Arabidopsis thaliana: one gene and its partners. The protein of the gene in region 1 interacts with the protein of each later gene in a pairwise test. Each region holds a gene or a part of one and is shown in the gene's direction. Other genes may lie near its edges.

What was found.
Region 2: the proteins of CaS (region 1) and ERD4 interact in a protein complementation assay, tested with the Arabidopsis thaliana proteins (one large-scale study listed by BioGRID).
Region 3: the proteins of CaS (region 1) and AAP3 interact in a protein complementation assay, tested with the Arabidopsis thaliana proteins (one large-scale study listed by BioGRID).
Region 4: the proteins of CaS (region 1) and RLK902 interact in a protein complementation assay, tested with the Arabidopsis thaliana proteins (one large-scale study listed by BioGRID).

The regions. Positions count from the first base shown.
Region 1 is NC_003076.8:7,736,004-7,740,265, reverse strand, and holds CaS (calcium sensing receptor), read left to right. Parts: upstream 1-1,730; 5' UTR 1,731-1,853; coding exon 1,854-2,069; intron 2,070-2,151; coding exon 2,152-2,397; intron 2,398-2,496; coding exon 2,497-2,689; intron 2,690-2,839; coding exon 2,840-2,981; intron 2,982-3,060; coding exon 3,061-3,192; coding exon of another isoform or gene 3,193-3,196; exon of another isoform or gene 3,197-3,271; coding exon 3,272-3,506; 3' UTR 3,507-3,748; downstream 3,749-4,262. UniProt on the Arabidopsis thaliana protein: Modulates cytoplasmic Ca(2+) concentration and is crucial for proper stomatal regulation in response to elevated levels of external Ca(2+).
Region 2 is NC_003070.9:10,713,670-10,719,531, forward strand, and holds ERD4 (Early-responsive to dehydration stress protein (ERD4)), read left to right. Parts: upstream 1-1,812; 5' UTR 1,813-2,222; coding exon 2,223-2,493; intron 2,494-2,864; coding exon 2,865-3,022; intron 3,023-3,116; coding exon 3,117-3,392; intron 3,393-3,489; coding exon 3,490-4,319; intron 4,320-4,402; coding exon 4,403-4,658; intron 4,659-4,746; coding exon 4,747-5,130; 3' UTR 5,131-5,328; downstream 5,329-5,862. Other genes in the region: DLAH (alpha/beta-Hydrolases superfamily protein), read right to left, coding at 5,500-5,862. UniProt on the Arabidopsis thaliana protein: Acts as a hyperosmolarity-gated non-selective cation channel that permeates Ca(2+) ions. Mechanosensitive ion channel that converts mechanical stimuli into a flow of ions: activated in response to membrane stretch. Not activated in response to membrane poke.
Region 3 is NC_003070.9:29,074,339-29,079,097, reverse strand, and holds AAP3 (amino acid permease 3), read left to right. Parts: upstream 1-1,707; 5' UTR 1,708-1,845; coding exon 1,846-1,939; intron 1,940-2,089; coding exon 2,090-2,323; intron 2,324-2,407; coding exon 2,408-2,501; intron 2,502-2,607; coding exon 2,608-2,822; intron 2,823-2,915; coding exon 2,916-3,055; intron 3,056-3,146; coding exon 3,147-3,505; intron 3,506-3,602; coding exon 3,603-3,897; 3' UTR 3,898-4,219; downstream 4,220-4,759. Other genes in the region: AT1G77370 (Glutaredoxin family protein), read right to left, coding at 4,456-4,511, 4,606-4,759. UniProt on the Arabidopsis thaliana protein: Amino acid-proton symporter. Stereospecific transporter with a broad specificity for GABA, tryptophan and both neutral and basic amino acids. High affinity transport of cationic amino acids.
Region 4 is NC_003074.8:6,104,187-6,109,268, forward strand, and holds RLK902 (receptor-like kinase 902), read left to right. Parts: upstream 1-1,721; 5' UTR 1,722-1,905; coding exon 1,906-3,256; intron 3,257-3,651; coding exon 3,652-4,244; 3' UTR 4,245-4,551; downstream 4,552-5,082. Other genes in the region: AT3G17830 (Molecular chaperone Hsp40/DnaJ family protein), read left to right, coding at 1-39, 137-317.

The DNA.
Region 1 (4,262 bases):
TGTTTTTTAACAATGGTCCTGAATTCTGATGATGCAGTTTTACTTTTGGTTTACATGTATGTATCAAGGTTTGTGTTCCATATGGTCTTTCTTCATCTAGCATTTTTGTTTTTGTTTGTTGAGCCACTGAATCCAACTTGTACTTCTTCAGCTTTGCAGATTAGTAGATCGGTTTTTTTCCTGGCTATGTCTTTTGTCACTACAGACCCTCAACGCTAATTTTGTTCCTGAGCATGGCTATGTTGTTATGAGTTCCTGATATGAAATTTGCTGTGATCTCTTGGTTTCTTGATGCAATGTGTGCTTTTGCTTACTTCTCTGGCTCTTTTAAGTATTACCTACATAGACATTGCATAATTCTAAAACCTTTGCTTTTGCATTACTATGTTCATTCTTGGCAAGTGATAAGGAATCCACGTAGAATAGTATAATACAATCAAAAACTTTGATACATTGCGCAATGAGTGCGTGATGATAACCCTTTAATCAGGATCCAAGTGGTGATATTCACTGATTAATAACCTTCTAGAGAGCCATGCTATACTTCTTGTTCTTTTCGTATTACTATTTATGAAACTGGCTGTTCAAGAAGAATCAAATTCACTCCTTAAACTTTCTTGTTGTAAAAGACACTTTTGTTATAAGTCATTGGTCTTCCTGTGTCCTCTCTTTTTTTCCCTCACCTTTGGCAGCACAGAGAAAAGGTGAGGGAATCTTGTGAAGTGAAAGGATTCCTTAGCTCGTGGGTTTTAAAATTCCTTGGAGCAAAACTTCAAATGGTATCATGATTCCATTTTCAAATTAGGTAAGAAAAGGAGAATCTTGTTCTTTTTCAAGATCAAGACTTGTTATCTTTCTTATATTCCTCACACAAGAGGGGCTGTTAAAATATGAGAAAATACTGTTTCTCTACAATGTTCTTATATAGAATTTGTGATGATGGTAGCACTACTAATAATATGATACCACTCTCTAGGCTGATGCTTTAACAAACATGAACTTAATAGCATAGTTTAAATGGTGAGCTTGCTTGTTTTAAGGTCTAGTAATGGTACTACTATACATTTTGTGGAATTATATACTTGTAAATGCTATGGAACTAGTGATCATGTGTGTTTGCTCGTCTTCCTTCAATCATGGGAAAGTTAATAAAGTGAGTCTATAATTTTACTAGTAGACGGTTGACCAAGTGTAGGTAGTTTACTTCACTTGATCAGCATGCTCAAATCTGTTCAAATTTTTAGGAGAGTAAACAGGAACCACAAGAACGGAACCTAAACCAACATCAGTCCAATTTAAGATACTTGGTTTTGTACGGAATGAAGTTTAATAGCAGTTTTCGGTCTTGGTTCATACAAGATGATGTTTATTGGCTTTGATTGGTAACACAATTTGAGGCGCTTGGAGCGGAGGTTGAACCGCTTCTTTGATTACCAATCGAACTGATGGAACTCATTGTTAGAAGAGGCGGCTAAAACAGATAGCTACTTCGTGTACAACCATAAGCATGTTTCAATGTACAGTATTCATTTTTTGTTGCTCTTATTCTGTAGTACACCTCTGATATTACTGCTACAATGAAATTCTTGTACGACATATATCAAAGTATTGGATTGGCAACGAACGGCTAAGCTTTAACACAAAAATGCCACGTAGGATTAGTCTGACCAATAAGAATCCATCTTTCAAATCCCCTTCCTTCAATCTTAACCAGAAAACTCAATTTATTTATAATCTTTAGAAAAAGGTACTTGAAGAAACAGTTTGCAGACAACATTGAAGAGAAGCTCTAAAGATTCTTTGTCTCTTTCTCTGTCGCATTGATTTGTAAAAAAGTGTGGCAGAGAGAAACCATGGCTATGGCGGAAATGGCAACGAAGTCTTCACTATCTGCAAAACTCACTCTTCCTTCTTCTTCTACTAAGAAGACACTGAGTCTGAGACAAGTCTCTGTTTCACTTCCAACATCAACTTCAATCTCTCTGTTATCTCTCTTTGCATCTCCTCCTCATGAAGCTAAAGCTGCTGTTTCCATTCCCAAGGACCAAATCGTCTCCTCTCTCACTGAAGTATATATAATAATCTCACTTTACTTCTTGAAATGACCAAAATGTCTCCTTTTTGTTGATGAGTGTTCTTGTGTCTTAACAGGTGGAGAAAACAATCAACCAAGTTCAAGAAACTGGTTCTAGTGTATTTGATGCAACGCAGCGTGTGTTCCAAGTAGTAGGAGATGCTCTTAAACCAGCTTTGGACACTGCTTTACCCATTGCAAAGCAAGCTGGTGAAGAAGCTATGAAGCTTGCTTCTCCTGCTTTCTCTGAAGCTTCAAAGAAAGCTCAAGAAGCAATGCAGAGCTCTGGTTTTGATTCTGAGCCTGTCTTTAATGCTGCAAAGGTCAGATTTCTTACATTCAAATATGTATGAGAACATAACAATTTAGGTTTTGGGGTTTAGGGTTTGAAGTGGTTTGTCTGTGTTTTGGTTGGGATGTAGACAGTAACAGATGTAGCACAACAGACGTCAAAAGCGATAGAAGATGCTAAACCGATTGCTTCATCGACCATGGATACGATTTCTTCAGCTGACCCTAGTGTCATTGTTGTTGCTGCTGGTGCTGCGTTTCTTGCTTACCTTCTTCTCCCTCCTGTTTTCTCTGCCATCTCTTTTAACTTCCGTGGTTACAAAGGTACCTCAAGACTCCATATAGATCATCTTGAGAACATATATAAGTTTTTGATTTGGTTATTAGTGATCTATTTTGTATCTAGAGTCTAATTCACCATAGCAAAATGCTGACAATTACTCTGTGTTTCTGGTTTGTGTTTTTTTAATAAAGGTGATCTTACGCCGGCTCAAACGCTTGACCTTCTTTGCACCAAGAACTACTTGATGGTGGATATAAGATCAGAGAAAGACAAGGAGAAAGCCGGGATTCCACGGCTCCCTTCGAATGCTAAGAACCGCGTGATCTCCATTCCGTATGTGTCTATCTAACTTTGATAATTCTTTTCATTATTATTATACTCAAAACATTGAACCTGTTCTTGTGATTATCAGATTAGAAGAACTACCAAACAAAGTAAAAGGAATCGTGAGGAACTCTAAACGAGTTGAAGCAGAGATAGCAGCATTAAAGATTTCTTACCTCAAGAAAATCAACAAAGGCTCCAATATCATCATCTTGGACTCGTGAGTTTTGATTATTACTCTTTTACAAGACCTTTTTTGTGAATCTTGCTTAATCTTTATTGGTCTTTTTGGCTCGTAGGTACACGGATTCGGCTAAGATAGTGGCGAAAACGTTAAAGGTTCTCGGGTACAAGAATTGCTATATTGTGACAGATGGATTCTCTGGTGGCAGAGGATGGTTGCAGAGCCGTTTAGGCACTGATTCTTACAACTTCTCGTTTGCACAAGTCTTGTCTCCATCGCGGATTATCCCGGCAGCTTCGAGAAGCTTTGGCACTAGGTCCGGAACCAAGTTCCTTCCTAGCTCCGACTGAAAACAGAGGATATATATAGTTTTACAAGTGTTGTTTAGTATTCCTTTATTTCTCAACTTTGAGAGATCTTTTGATAAGATAAGATTTTCGAATTACTTACTTACTTGTCTTTTACATTGATGATCATATATGGAAAAGATTACATCAAACTGAAGTAGTAGCTAATCATCTAAAAGAAAAAATGTATGATCAAAAACCGGGATGAGTTTGGCCTATAGTGGTAGGAAAAAATTGGGATAAAGACTAAATTCATAATGAGTTATGGACAACTAATTGTAATATCACATAGATGCACAATCATTTTGGACCATCTGGTAGGTGTGTGTGTGTGGCCTAGCCTTATCACTTAGTGGGATTGCCAATAGCTTTTTGCCGAAAATCCATTTTACAAATGGTTGAAGATAATAAAAATTAGACAAGTTTTTTTTTTTGTGGAGTTTAGTTTAGTGCTTTCAATCATGTGAAAACCAAGATATAAATTTTGAAAACTATTATAAATATTGTGCAATAGTTGAAGTATATACAAACTATTTTTAATCAAAATGTTGTCTAATTAATATTAATTGTAACACCGGTCACTCCGAATTGTAACAAAATTGTCTATTTTGCTAACGGATTCTACACCAAATTAAATAAAATTTATATAGACTAACATATATTGCTCTACTGATCCATACAATCTAAATTGATAGTGTATATAGACTGAAATCAATAAATAAAAGACATAAACCAAATAAGATGATGATCAAAAGTCGA
Region 2 (5,862 bases), on another chromosome or scaffold:
AACAAATACTAACAGAAATATCATTGTAGATAAGACTTTAGGGTCTTCGATCGACATATAATAAAGATAAGGTTTGGGACCCTTTCAAGCTTTTTTTCGGTGTCGGCAATGAAGTTTTACGTCGAGGTGGCATTAACAACTGGACAACGGCTTTTTGTTTTGTTTTGGGGTCTCTTTTGTCTTGTGAATAACAACTTTTATCACATTCGCATAAATTATATATAGATTTATGAATTTATTCTCCCAAATTAATGGTTTGTCTCAGTGGAAATCTACTGTTTTGTCCAGTGACTTGTGTTATCTATTTAATTCAGTTGGATGCCAAAAATAACATATATTTTCGATCTATCTATTGTGGATTTTACCCGATCGACATAAAAGGAATTAAGGACCGGTATTGGACCAATATTACATGACTGGTCATGCATGGAAACACACCAAACAAAACAATAAATTTTCTTTGTATAAAAAAAGAAAACCAATAATTTATTTATCTTCTGATTAAAATATGGCGAAGAGATATACACTAGTATTAAAATTTAAAACAATAGAATGAGGTAAAACATAAATACAGCATGTCGTGGACGTCTTTCGATTGTTTTTAGTTCTTTTTTTTTGGTTTTATATTTCAAAACTTGTTGAAACTGCATAAAAGTTTTTTTTTTGTGTGGATCCCCGTAATTTTTATTCTACACACGTACAAGACAATTTTTTCTTACGTAAACTATACAAACATATAAAGTGCATGTGACTGGTGAATGCTTATAATAAAATACAAATAAAATAATGTGTGATTGGTGGAATATTTAGAGTAAAAGAAGAATGAATATAGAGGAATATTGATATTGGAGGAAATAAAAATATGAATTAGAGTACCCAAATAACTGGTATTCCCTACAAGCAGTCAACAAAACTAAGGAAAAAAAAACCAAGGAAAAAAGAAGAAAAAATTGTTTTGTTTCTGTTGAGTGGACAAGTTATGAGATTAGAATTCAAATATCCGTTCAAGTTAAAGCATGGAATCACGAATGCTCCACATCTCAAAGAAGAAATTGAACTCTTTCTAATCTTAGAATTCAAAGAAACGTAGAGGAGTCTGATGAGATGTGGTTGGTTGCTATTACCTCTGATTGAATTTGATCACATACAAAATAACATTCGATCTTGATGTGTTTCGTAGGCTTTTGTGTAAAATCAGATGCATATATTTGTTTCAAGGGTCGTCTCCACTAGAGTAAAATGACGCATATCATCAAGAATGCTTTTCCACCACATTACTTACGACACAGTCAATATTCAACTTCGACATAAACGAACCTATTTCGCAAATTGTTTATGAGTTATTCAAATTATGTAAATTTAATATACTATCATATATTTTATAAAGATGTCTATTAAGTAAAAGGATGAAAACATATATTATTTGAAAAACCGGATTTCAGATGAAATTACTAGTTTAAATCAAAATATGCTTTGATTTATATAGTAATACAAGTATTTTTTTGAACTTAAATTGTTATATGATTGATATGTCACCATAACCGTAAATATTTGCGAAATAAAGGTAATTTCTTACCATATGTTTTTCCAAATATTAAGAGATACATTAAACATGTCATACTGATCAAAGATCTCTAAGTAGTAGTAAATAAGGTTTACGAGTACTTTTTTGAAACAAACCTAGAAAATAGAAGGGAATAGAAGAAACTTCAAAAGCACAAAAAGAGAAAAATCCAAAGAATAATTTATTATACAATAAAATAAAAACGTATAAAAAAGGGAACAAAATGGGTAAAGAGAGGAGGAGGAGGACCCTGAAGTAGGGTTAAAAAATCCATCTCCTTTGGTGTCTCTATCATCAACACCTGTCGGCCTTGTCACTTAAACACGCTCTTCACTCTCTTCTCACACACCTCTCCTTCTCCTTCTCCCACCATTTAATCAATTCCACAATATTCAATTTTTCCAGTCTCCTCCGTTACACAATTCCACAAAGAGATTAAACAAACAATAGAAAAATATCTTCCTTTCTTTTTCTGTGAATACACCAATAAAGTGACAAAAGAAAAAGCCTGTCTTCTCTCACCTGTAATTACCAGAAGACAATATAAACTGTTACTTTCCTTCTTTTGTTGTACCCCTTTAAAAACGGCTACTTTAGAGAACTTGAGAAGATTTAGAAAGAAACAGAGAGCTTGAGAGATTCCTCTGGCTAAACCCAGATGGAGTTTGGATCTTTTCTTGTGTCCTTAGGGACATCTTTTGTTATCTTCGTCATTCTCATGCTTCTCTTCACCTGGCTTTCTCGCAAATCTGGAAATGCTCCCATTTATTACCCGAATCGGATCCTTAAAGGGCTGGAGCCATGGGAAGGCACCTCCTTGACTCGAAACCCTTTTGCTTGGATGCGTGAAGCTTTGACTTCCTCTGAACAAGATGTCGTTAACTTATCCGGCGTCGATACTGCTGTCCACTTTGTCTTCTTGAGCACTGGTTCGATCTCAATCTCTCTCTGTTCATCTCTGTTCTCTGTTACTTTAGTGGTTCCAATTCAAGGGTTTGGTGGAATTCTGCTGATTTCTGTTGGTTTTGATTTGGGTTTGAGATTTAACCTAATAAAGTTTCGATCTTTAGAGACAATTGGGGGAAAAAACGTTTCAAAATGGAAACTTTTTTGTTTGTAAATTGCTGGCTCTGACTATTTTGTTTGCTATGTTATGTTATCTCTGTTTTACTTTTAGACATTGGTGATTGAAATTAGAATCAGTAGATAGAACTTTTTGAAGTCTATATATACGAGCCAGTGATTTTGGTGAAGGTAAAGTGTTTATGATGTCTTGAAAATTGGCTTTTGTTTGATGCAGTTCTGGGGATATTTGCTTGTTCCAGTCTTCTTCTCCTACCAACTCTACTGCCTCTAGCCGCTACAGACAACAACATAAAGAACACAAAGAATGCGACAGATACCACAAGCAAAGGAACTTTTAGCCAACTTGATAATCTATCAATGGCTAACATCACAGTAAGTAAACACAACAATAACTCCATTCTGCCTATTGATTCATTTTCAGTTTTTGATAGTCTAAAGCAAAATGTGTATCCTTTCATTTGAACAGAAAAAAAGTTCGAGGCTGTGGGCGTTCCTAGGAGCTGTTTACTGGATATCTTTGGTCACATATTTCTTCTTGTGGAAAGCTTATAAGCATGTCTCTTCATTGAGAGCTCAAGCTCTGATGTCTGCTGATGTAAAACCCGAGCAATTCGCTATTCTTGTTAGGGATATGCCTGCACCACCTGACGGGCAGACACAGAAAGAGTTTATTGATTCTTATTTCAGAGAAATATACCCTGAGACATTCTACAGATCGCTTGTCGCAACAGAAAACAGCAAGGTATCTACTTGTTCTGGCCTAAGAAAGTCATATGTTTTAAGGTTTTAGGCATCATAATGTTAATATGTTAACCTTTGCTCTTTGTTGTGTTGTATAGGTTAATAAAATATGGGAAAAATTGGAAGGTTACAAGAAGAAGCTTGCGCGAGCAGAAGCAATATTAGCAGCAACTAATAACCGTCCCACGAACAAAACCGGCTTCTGTGGGCTAGTCGGTAAACAAGTAGACAGCATTGAGTATTACACTGAGCTAATCAACGAGTCTGTAGCCAAACTGGAAACAGAGCAGAAAGCGGTTCTTGCTGAGAAGCAGCAAACCGCAGCAGTGGTTTTCTTCACAACCAGGGTTGCTGCTGCATCAGCAGCTCAGTCTCTGCACTGCCAGATGGTTGATAAATGGACTGTGACCGAAGCTCCTGAGCCACGGCAGCTCCTATGGCAGAATCTCAACATCAAGCTCTTCAGCAGAATAATCCGGCAATACTTCATCTACTTCTTTGTTGCAGTGACCATTCTGTTTTACATGATACCAATCGCGTTCGTCTCTGCCATCACCACTCTTAAGAATCTTCAGAGGATTATTCCGTTCATAAAGCCGGTTGTGGAGATAACCGCCATAAGAACCGTTTTGGAGTCTTTCCTTCCTCAGATTGCGCTCATTGTTTTCTTGGCCATGTTGCCGAAGCTTCTCTTGTTTCTCTCCAAAGCCGAGGGGATTCCTTCACAGAGCCATGCCATTAGGGCTGCTTCAGGGAAGTACTTTTACTTCTCGGTCTTTAATGTCTTCATTGGTGTTACCCTTGCTGGGACTTTGTTCAACACAGTGAAGGATATCGCGAAAAATCCCAAACTCGACATGATTATTAACCTTTTGGCTACTAGCCTCCCTAAGAGCGCAACTTTCTTCCTGACCTACGTTGCTCTCAAGTGAGATTTTGGTCTTCTTGACTTAAATAGCATATGTATTGTTCGTTTGTTCCCTAAATCTTATGTTGATGATTTTTTTTCAGGTTCTTTATCGGTTATGGCCTTGAGCTGTCTCGGATCATACCTTTGATAATCTTCCACCTGAAAAAGAAGTATCTCTGCAAAACCGAAGCGGAGGTCAAAGAAGCTTGGTACCCGGGAGACTTAAGCTATGCGACTAGGGTTCCCGGAGACATGCTCATCCTCACAATCACGTTCTGCTATTCAGTCATTGCTCCTCTTATCCTCATATTCGGCATCACCTACTTTGGTTTAGGCTGGCTAGTCCTCAGGAATCAGGTCAGACTTTCTCTCTATTTACTATACCCATAAACACTTAGGTTATCAAAAATGTGATCTTGAACTGTTTTATTTCGGGGTATGACAGGCGTTGAAAGTGTACGTTCCATCATACGAGAGCTATGGAAGAATGTGGCCGCATATTCACCAGCGCATACTAGCAGCGTTGTTTCTATTCCAAGTGGTAATGTTTGGCTACTTAGGAGCCAAGACATTCTTCTACACGGCCCTTGTGATCCCTCTCATTATCACCTCTCTCATCTTCGGATATGTGTGCCGCCAGAAATTCTACGGAGGGTTCGAACACACAGCTCTCGAGGTAGCTTGCCGTGAGCTGAAGCAGAGTCCAGACCTAGAGGAGATTTTCAGAGCATACATTCCGCATAGCTTGAGCTCTCACAAACCAGAAGAACACGAGTTCAAAGGCGCAATGTCTCGTTATCAAGATTTCAACGCAATAGCAGGCGTTTAAAATTTGAATCCAATCCCCAAATTATCTCATAGATTTGTTTTGCTGGTTTTTTAGAAGCTTTTATTGTTATGTGTGTGAATTTTAGGGTTTGTTTAGGATTCTTCTTTGTATGTGTTCCATGGTTGTTGTAACTTGTAACTTTGTAAGCTACTTTTAAACATCAACTTGATTTTTCATCATTAATATTCTTCTACTCTGATGTTCTGATTTCTTTAGCTGATGCAAATTGTATTTAAAGTAGTTTCAAACATATATACATTATTGTCACAGCTTGATCTATATTCATTGAACTGAAATGTTGTAACCAAAATTCACAAGGACTAAAGATTCAAGAAAACGAATGAATGGAATGGAAAATAAATTTATTTCTCATAAGCTATAAATAGGTTTTGGTCCGGTCGGTAACGGAGAGGGAATGTCTTCAGGTGCACGGACAGGCTTCACCCACCGGCCAGTCTGTTTGTTAAGGATCAGACCCTTATGTGCCACTTGGTACCAAAACTCAGGTATTCTTAGATGATCCAACAACATATCTGTGCTCTTGTTCACCGAAGCAACGTCTCTCCTAGCGTTAACCCTAAACCCAGATTTCTTGCGGTGGAAGCCATCCAAAACATGGAGATACACCTCTAGATTATGAGCCCTCCCTAAGTCTGAATCACGTTTTACGTAAGGCGAACTGAAGACATCGAGTTTAAGCTGCGTTCCGACATGCCTGTAGACCCAATTGAG
Region 3 (4,759 bases), on another chromosome or scaffold:
TGTAAACATGGAAAAAAAAATAAAAAAACTGGTACATTTTGTATGCATTTTTGCGGTTATAAACTTTGGAATTGTAAAGAATGAACTAGATTTTAACCCGCGGTACACCGCGGAGACAATTTATTTTTTTAAATTAGTATATATAAAATTTTACAAATTATGTCTATCTATAAAATATTTTTATTTTATAGTTTATAATTGTTATTAAGTAACGTCCTTCTAAACCCGTTCCACCAAACTCGTCCTGTAAAAATAAACCGCGGTACCCCGCTAATTTAAATTTATAATTAAAATAAATATTTTACGGGATTGCAATTGTGTTTTAGTTTGTCAAACAAAATTTTGTTTTAAATAGTTGTCGAAATGTAGTTCAAATTTTGGAGACATAAGATTTAGTGAATAGATAAGAAATATATTTAGTTGCGTTTCGCTCATTTTAAGGGATTGCAATTGTCTTTTGGGTTGTCAAACATTTTTTGTTTTAAATAGTTGTCGAAATCTATTTCAAATTTTGGAAAAATCTGCGTGATATATGGGATTGGAATATATTTCGAATGTTTTTTTATTTGTTAATCAATTTATTGCTAAAAAAACAATAATTAAAAGCCAATGGTAGCCATTGTAAATAAATTCCAACTCCAGGATTTATTTCACAAAATGACTGCAACAATGTATATATAGATTCTATTTTTATGAATATAATTCCCTTTATATTTGGAGACTATTTCCTTTGAATGATGACTTGTCTGAATACAAATCTTCTCGTAAGTCCTTAAAGGATATTTGGTTTCCCACGAATCAAGCCAATACAAGTTTGTGTATGTCATTTATGTTTAAATGAGTTTAGTTGGCAAAGTAATCAAAATATTTCATTTCGAGAAGAACATATAGCTTACACGCCTCATAAGTTAGTTACCTACAGAAACTTATATGGTGGGGTGATATACTTTCGGATTCTAGGTAAGATATAGTATATGTGCGTTACTATTGCTCATACTATAAAAATCACCTTTTGGTTTTGAGTTATCATTTTGAAATCTACACATGATTGCGTGTACTCATTATTTAAAGTCGGCATAGATTTCTCCATATATATGTCATGATTCCATGAATGTTCTTTTAACATCTTAATGCGATAACACTTTACATTGAAATATTCAAGAAAAAACCAAGCTGTTTTCTAAATAAATTTAGTTTGTCCACGGTTAATAAAATTTAAAATTAGCGAAATACGTAAATAATCAAATGATATAACCAAAATGCCTATTATTTTTAAAACAACATTTTATTTTCTCTAATCTCATAAAATACTCTAATAAAATCTAGTTGTAAGTGAAAATAACACTAAGCTTCAAACACACACGTACATGAATGTTTGTTTTTTTCTTTCAAAAAAGCTGAACAATGACATTTTAAGTCCAAATGAAAACGATGGTATCATCTTGGACTTCCAATTTTCCATTGCCCATATTTTCTCTTTTCTTTTGTTTTTATCCAATTGGTATCGAATCATTCATATAAAATTATAAATCATGAAGTCAAATTTTTCAATAGTAACACTTGAGTAATAGTGGTCCTACCAACTTTTTACCAAGACAGATATATTTTTTTTAATACACTTTTTACCTTTTACTGTGTTTGCCTCAAATGAGTGTTTTTACCAGTTTCTGTGTATATAAATCTGCACTCCACTCTCAGTTTATCTTCATCCACAAGACAGTTCTTTAACAAAGTCATTAAACATTTCCCTTACCTTCTAAAGATCAACTCTTTCAAACACTTACTCTGCATGTAACTTCATAGATTGAACGAAGAACCAAAAAAACAGAGCAAAACAAACAAAAGATGGTTCAAAACCACCAAACAGTTCTCGCCGTCGATATGCCACAAACCGGCGGCTCCAAGTACTTGGACGACGACGGGAAAAACAAAAGAACTGGTAACAATGTTTCTCTCTTTCTCTTTAATTCATATTGAGACTTGGTTCTCTAATTATTCAAAAAAATATTAATTTGAACTCGAAACCTGCTCTGATTTAGTTATGTTGAAAAAACGAGAAAGTTGAAAGTTTTTAAATTTTGGGTTTTAGGGAGTGTTTGGACGGCGAGTGCACACATAATAACGGCAGTGATAGGTTCGGGAGTTTTGTCACTAGCGTGGGCTACGGCGCAGCTAGGTTGGCTCGCCGGACCGGTGGTGATGTTGCTCTTCTCTGCCGTCACTTATTTCACTTCTTCTCTTCTTGCTGCTTGTTACCGCTCCGGCGACCCTATCTCCGGCAAGAGGAACTACACTTATATGGATGCTGTCCGATCAAATCTCGGTAAATACAAAACTTCAAAGTAGAAATCGGACAATGGAGATCAGATCAGAACAGAGCATTAACATTTTTCATTGTTCTGTATAGGTGGCGTGAAGGTGACGCTATGTGGGATTGTTCAGTATCTTAATATCTTTGGTGTTGCTATTGGCTACACAATTGCTTCAGCTATAAGCATGATGTGAGTGTTCTCACTAATTAACTCTTAAAACTACGAAGTTAGGTAATGGACCAAATAGGTTTTGATGATAATAAAAAATAAACAAAATTTTGTTTTTGAAAAACAGGGCAATAAAGAGATCAAACTGTTTCCACAAGAGTGGAGGGAAAGATCCATGTCACATGAACAGTAATCCTTACATGATAGCTTTTGGATTAGTCCAGATTCTATTCTCTCAGATTCCAGATTTTGATCAACTTTGGTGGCTCTCAATCCTCGCCGCCGTTATGTCCTTCACTTATTCCTCAGCCGGTCTCGCCCTCGGCATAGCCCAAGTTGTCGGTTCGTTTCTTGAACCATAAAGCTTCTAGGGTCTTAAATAAGAACTTTCATAGGTAAAAAACTAATAGGTTTTATGTGTTTTGGTTTCATCAGTTAATGGGAAGGTGAAGGGAAGTCTCACTGGGATTAGCATAGGAGCAGTAACAGAGACACAGAAGATATGGAGGACCTTTCAAGCTCTTGGAGACATTGCTTTTGCTTACTCTTACTCCATTATCCTCATCGAGATTCAGGTACTTATACCTTCTTTACAAGTCTTGATGATCAAAGCCATTAATTACTGGTCCCATCATGAAGCTTTTTTTATTCTGGGATCTGAAACAGGACACAGTGAAGTCACCACCATCAGAAGAGAAGACGATGAAGAAGGCAACACTTGTGAGCGTCAGTGTAACGACTATGTTCTATATGTTGTGTGGATGTATGGGATATGCAGCCTTTGGAGACTTGTCTCCGGGAAATCTCTTAACCGGTTTCGGGTTTTATAATCCTTATTGGCTTCTTGACATTGCAAATGCAGCCATTGTGATTCACCTTATTGGTGCATACCAAGTCTATTGCCAACCTCTGTTTGCTTTCATCGAGAAGCAAGCTTCCATTCAATTCCCTGATAGTGAGTTCATTGCAAAAGATATCAAAATTCCAATTCCTGGTTTCAAGCCTCTCCGCTTGAATGTCTTCAGGTACAAATCTTGCCTTTAAACTAATGGGATCTGAGTTTTAAACATGATGTGTATGTAATAATCAAAGCTTCTGTGTGGCGTGGAATGGCTTACTCAGGTTGATATGGAGGACAGTGTTTGTGATCATAACGACAGTTATCTCAATGCTTCTTCCGTTTTTCAACGACGTTGTGGGTCTGCTCGGGGCACTAGGGTTTTGGCCATTGACGGTGTATTTTCCAGTGGAAATGTACATCGCGCAGAAGAAGATACCTAGATGGAGCACCAGATGGGTTTGCCTTCAAGTCTTCAGCTTAGGGTGTCTAGTAGTTAGCATTGCTGCAGCTGCAGGGTCCATAGCTGGAGTACTTCTTGATCTAAAGTCCTACAAGCCATTTCGAAGCGAATACTGATCAACTTGAATAGTAGCCAATTCAAAGCGATGACTAAGTCAGTTTTAAACACAATGGATTTATCAAGAACAGTCAAGAGAACCAAGAACCATGAATTTGGGAATTTTGATCAGCTTTTTTTTATATAGATAGAAGCAATAATGCTGTTAGTTCTTCTCTATAATCTTCTCTGTACCCTGAAGGCAAGAATTGTAGTCCTAATGAGTAAATCTTCGATTAATGACAGAGTCATGTGCTGCAACAGAATCATGAACTAGCACCATAATAGTATATTACCATTGTGGTAAAATTTCAATAACAAGTTCTTGTACTTGCTCTTCTTTCCATGATCTGATATTTGCCGTATGAACCATTCACTAAGGCACACAAGTATGGATTATTTAAGCGAAACAATCACCAGAGCAGTGCAGTAACAAAAGATCAAGACTTTATCAATGCCATCATAACTTACATAACTGAGTCATACATATCAATTCGCTTATTCAGTCTACAACTAGCAAAGATTTCTAATTCCTGTAAATCACATACTGTAGATTCCACATTCGAGGTCCTCAAATATCAACTTGCAGCAAGAAGCTTTTGCAACTGACCACTCTCCAAAGCAGCTCCAAGATCTGAAGCAACAAGATAAACAGCCAAGGCTTGTGAGTTACAAGGGAAATTTGGACAAAAGAATGAAACTTGGAGGAGATAGTGAGCTCATCATACCATCTGATCCACCAATATGCTTGCCGTTAACAAAAACTTGCGGGACAGTACGACGACCAACGAATTCTAAAAGCTCATACTGGATTTGATCTCCGTCCTCTGCAAAAACAAATCTCTCAGAAGTTTTAAGAAACAGTTCAATTCTCATAAACAG
Region 4 (5,082 bases), on another chromosome or scaffold:
AGAACCATCTTTGTGGCATAAAATGAAGAATTTCATAAGGTAATCTCATAGAAACCTTTTTCTCAGTAGTTCATCAAAAGACACAACATTGTTGTCTTGGTCTGATACATAGTTTTTAATGTCACGTGTTATATAGACCAGAAGATTCAAGAACGAAATTTGGGACTATGAGCTTAAACCCATCATTACCATTACGAAGAATGAAAGTGTCAGAGACTTCAATTGCTTTTTCAGTCTTGGCTCTGTGCGTTATAACCTCGGCTGTTGCATTGGTACAGAAGAAGGGTAATCGCTTGAAACAAAAGAAAGAAACTTAATTTCGTCAAAAACCCTGAAACCCCACAGGTAGAAGTTTAATTTCAAGTAACAGAGAGCTTTTTACAAGATTTAAAAGGCCCTCGGTCATACAATTCTAGTTTCTAGAGATTGTTTGTCACGCAGAAGAGATATGATCTTGTATGTATGTTTTATCATTTATATATGGTTAAGAGCCTAGTTGTGATATACAACGAAAGGAATGTTATTACTTGAACAAATGTTTATGTATGCTAGACCAGCTTAAACCGTGACAGAACTATGCTTTGAACTCAATTCAGTCCTCTTATTTACTTTGTTTGTCCCTCTCTCATTAGAGGAACCTTTTTAGGCAATCAAGAAAAGGTTTCCCATAATCCCATATCTATTAGTATAGTCTTTTATTGCTTAGTGGGTCTCAACACACAGCTACTATACTTAGTATTTACATTATGATGACTAACGTCTTTATCTTCCAAAGTAAAACAATAGTAAAGCCAGCTAGATAGTTAAAAACACAACTCAATAGTATACCTTTTGTTAAATGGCTTAAAAACAACTCAATATTCCAACTACCAAACTGTTTATCCACATGTGCGATCGAAAATAGATCCATTAAATTACTACACTTCATATAGTTTTACTCTTTTCTTCTAAAATGTAACGCCCAACCACATATCAATGTAACCGTCGTGAATCTTTTTTCATCTTTTATTGTAAATTATCCAAAATATGAATCACAATAATATTACCTTTGTGGACCATGAAATAATTTATTCGATGGATAGAAAAATTGGTAAGATAGTAAGATTAATGGGACCCTTTAGATTGATGCCGTTGATATGCAGAGAGTGGAGACAATAAAAAAACAGAGAATGCGTTACTTGTAAATAAAAGAGCCTACTTTGAATGCTGTTAAATTATTGTTGTTGGCTTTTTTACATGTTTATGGTCCTACCTTTCTCTGCATACCCATGTTCATTTTTTTCTTTTCTTTTACAACCATGCATTATCATACTACTATAGTAAGAAAAAATCAATTTTATTATTAAAGAAGCAAAACAAAAAAAAATACATAGAATTAAGTGTTATCTTGAGAAGAGTGATTCCACTTTACTCAGATGCAGGGAATTTCATAATCAAAACCTTTGTATTCCATTTCTCCATAAACACACACACCCACTTGCTAATTTTCTTGTTAATCCGATTGATTATTAAACTCTAAGTTTTTGTAATCCAGTTAATAATCTTTAGCAGTTGGAATTTAGATAAGACAACACAGCTTAGTGGTACGAATGATTCACATAAGATTCTATAATATCAATAAGTTAAAACATAAAAACCAATAATAGAAATTAAAAAAAAAAAAATACAAATATTTTTGTCGAAGCATATAAAGACATACGTCACTGTTGTATAGAAATTGTCGTTTTTGTCACATTTAGATTTTAATTTGAAAAAATTTCAAAACTCGAAAAAAACAAAAAGTGGAGAAAAAGAGAAAGAGAGAGTGTTAAGAGTGTTGACTAGCTTCACTCTTTCTCTGTAAACCACACACACAGCTTCTTCACTGAGAGCTTTTTTCTAGGGTTTCTCTCTTTGTTTCTTACAATGCGACTCTTCTTCACACCGTCAATGTCCAATCTCTCCATATTCTTCTCGATTCTTCTCCTTTCTCTTCCTCTTCCGTCAATCGGAGATCTCGCCGCCGACAAATCCGCTCTTCTCTCTTTTCGTTCCGCCGTCGGTGGTCGTACATTACTCTGGGACGTCAAGCAAACCTCACCATGCAACTGGACCGGCGTCTTATGCGACGGTGGTCGTGTTACTGCTCTTCGTCTTCCCGGTGAAACGCTCTCCGGTCATATACCGGAGGGTATTTTTGGTAATTTAACTCAGCTCCGGACGCTTAGTCTCCGTCTCAATGGTCTTACTGGTTCTCTTCCTTTGGATCTCGGAAGCTGCTCCGATCTTCGGCGTTTGTACCTGCAGGGTAACAGATTCTCCGGTGAGATTCCGGAGGTTTTGTTTAGTCTTAGTAACCTTGTTAGGTTGAATCTAGCTGAGAATGAATTTAGTGGAGAGATCTCGTCAGGGTTTAAAAACCTTACTAGGCTTAAGACTCTGTACCTGGAGAATAACAAGCTCTCTGGCTCTCTTTTAGACTTGGATTTGTCTTTGGATCAGTTCAACGTTTCTAATAACTTGTTGAACGGATCTATACCTAAGAGTTTGCAGAAGTTTGATTCTGATTCGTTTGTGGGAACTTCTCTCTGCGGCAAACCGCTTGTTGTCTGCTCTAATGAGGGAACTGTGCCAAGCCAGCCAATTTCTGTTGGCAATATTCCCGGAACTGTTGAAGGAAGTGAGGAGAAGAAGAAAAGGAAGAAGCTTTCTGGTGGAGCTATAGCTGGAATAGTGATTGGATGTGTGGTTGGTTTGTCCCTGATTGTTATGATTTTGATGGTTCTCTTTAGGAAAAAGGGGAACGAGAGAACAAGGGCCATTGACCTTGCAACCATCAAGCACCATGAAGTTGAAATTCCTGGCGAGAAAGCGGCCGTGGAAGCACCGGAGAATAGGAGCTATGTAAATGAGTACTCTCCGTCTGCAGTGAAAGCTGTGGAAGTGAACAGTTCAGGGATGAAGAAGTTAGTGTTTTTTGGGAATGCGACAAAGGTCTTCGATCTTGAGGATCTGTTGAGAGCTTCAGCGGAGGTTCTGGGGAAAGGAACGTTCGGGACAGCTTATAAAGCGGTGCTTGACGCGGTGACATTGGTGGCTGTGAAGAGACTGAAGGATGTAACGATGGCGGACAGAGAGTTTAAGGAGAAGATTGAGGTTGTTGGGGCGATGGATCATGAGAACTTGGTGCCCTTGAGAGCGTACTATTACAGTGGAGACGAGAAGCTGCTTGTCTATGACTTCATGCCTATGGGAAGCTTATCAGCTCTCTTACACGGTGAGAACTACCCCTCTCTTTCTTTCTCAGCGAAAAATTTGATTTTTATTGTTAATAGTTCTCTGCTGAATCTTAAGTTTGGCATAATTAGTAATGGATTCGTTAATATACATTACTGTTAAGAAAGAAATGACAAAGATTCTATCATGAAATGATTAGTTTGGTACTGCATCACATTGACAAGGATCAGTGAAGAGTTTTTATCATTCACATGGCTTACACAGGACGTCTATGAATTAGTGGGGACAGTAGATAACCTTGGATTCCTTGACTAGCTGTGATAATTGATCTTTTAGAATTGTATTTTGAACAAAGAAAAATCCAGACCTCCTGTGTTCTACTTTCAGACAGTAGTTTTTTTTGTGTATTGAGCTTAATGTCATGCTATGTTACAGGAAACAAAGGTGCAGGCCGGCCTCCATTGAACTGGGAAGTCAGATCAGGCATCGCCCTTGGAGCTGCTCGTGGCTTAGACTATCTTCACTCACAAGACCCACTGAGCTCTCACGGAAACGTCAAGTCCTCCAATATCCTCTTAACAAACTCCCATGACGCACGAGTGTCTGATTTCGGCCTGGCTCAGCTTGTAAGCGCCTCATCCACAACCCCAAACCGGGCCACTGGGTACCGTGCGCCAGAAGTAACTGACCCGAGGCGTGTCTCACAGAAAGCGGACGTGTACAGCTTTGGTGTGGTGTTGCTAGAGTTGCTCACCGGAAAAGCTCCGTCTAACTCGGTGATGAACGAGGAAGGAATGGATTTGGCGAGGTGGGTGCATTCAGTGGCGAGAGAGGAGTGGAGGAATGAGGTTTTTGACTCGGAGCTGATGAGTATCGAGACAGTTGTCTCGGTGGAAGAAGAGATGGCGGAAATGCTGCAGCTGGGCATTGACTGTACAGAGCAGCACCCAGACAAGCGGCCAGTTATGGTGGAGGTGGTGAGAAGGATCCAGGAGTTGCGCCAATCGGGTGCAGATCGGGTGGGGTAAGACCATCAGATGAAAGGAGACTTGAGACATGAGTCTGTTCGATGATCTGAAGCGGCGACGTTTTCAGTGTTTAGTTTTAAGAATATGGCGGGAATTAGAGTTGGGGTCGTTAATTAGATGTTTTTAATTTTGGTTTTTTTTTTTTGGTTTCTTTCATGTGTGGGCACTGATGATGAGGAGTTTCGTGGTGGTTGTAATTATTAGTGCTTTTAACTTTAACTTTATTTTCAATATTGTTTTTCAGCTTTTTGTCTCTATGATATGATAGTAAGCAATGCAGACAAAAAAAGAAGATAGTATAGTTTAAATTCATATTAATACATAGACTAACGGACATGAAACTTGCAGTAAGACGACAGGTGATAATGTAATGTCTTTATGATCATACATTCACATTTACGCCTGCTTATGGCAATCCAATGGCATGACAGCTTTTTGTATAAGTGGATATATCAAGTCACATGTTACACGATTACATGGCTGGATCCAAATGTAGACATGGGAAGACCTCATACGACGTCATGTTGGTATGTTTTGGATTATTTCTTGTTTGAACTTGTTCGCCAAAAGTCCAAGATAAAGTTGTGGGCAAATTTGTTGATGACAACTAAATAAATCTAAAATTGTTGAGAGGTTATGTCTTAAATGGTATTTAAAATTATTAAAGATTAAGTAGGTTGCGAGCTCTCTTATCTTTACTGAGGTAGACCGATTGCTGCCGCTGCTAACTCAAAACGCAAAACGCTACCTCACCACTCTCATGTCCTTGTGATTATAGAAATATGGGAAAAGTACCAATACCGCGCTGGTGGCTGCGTTTGCGTCCCCATGATGTTTC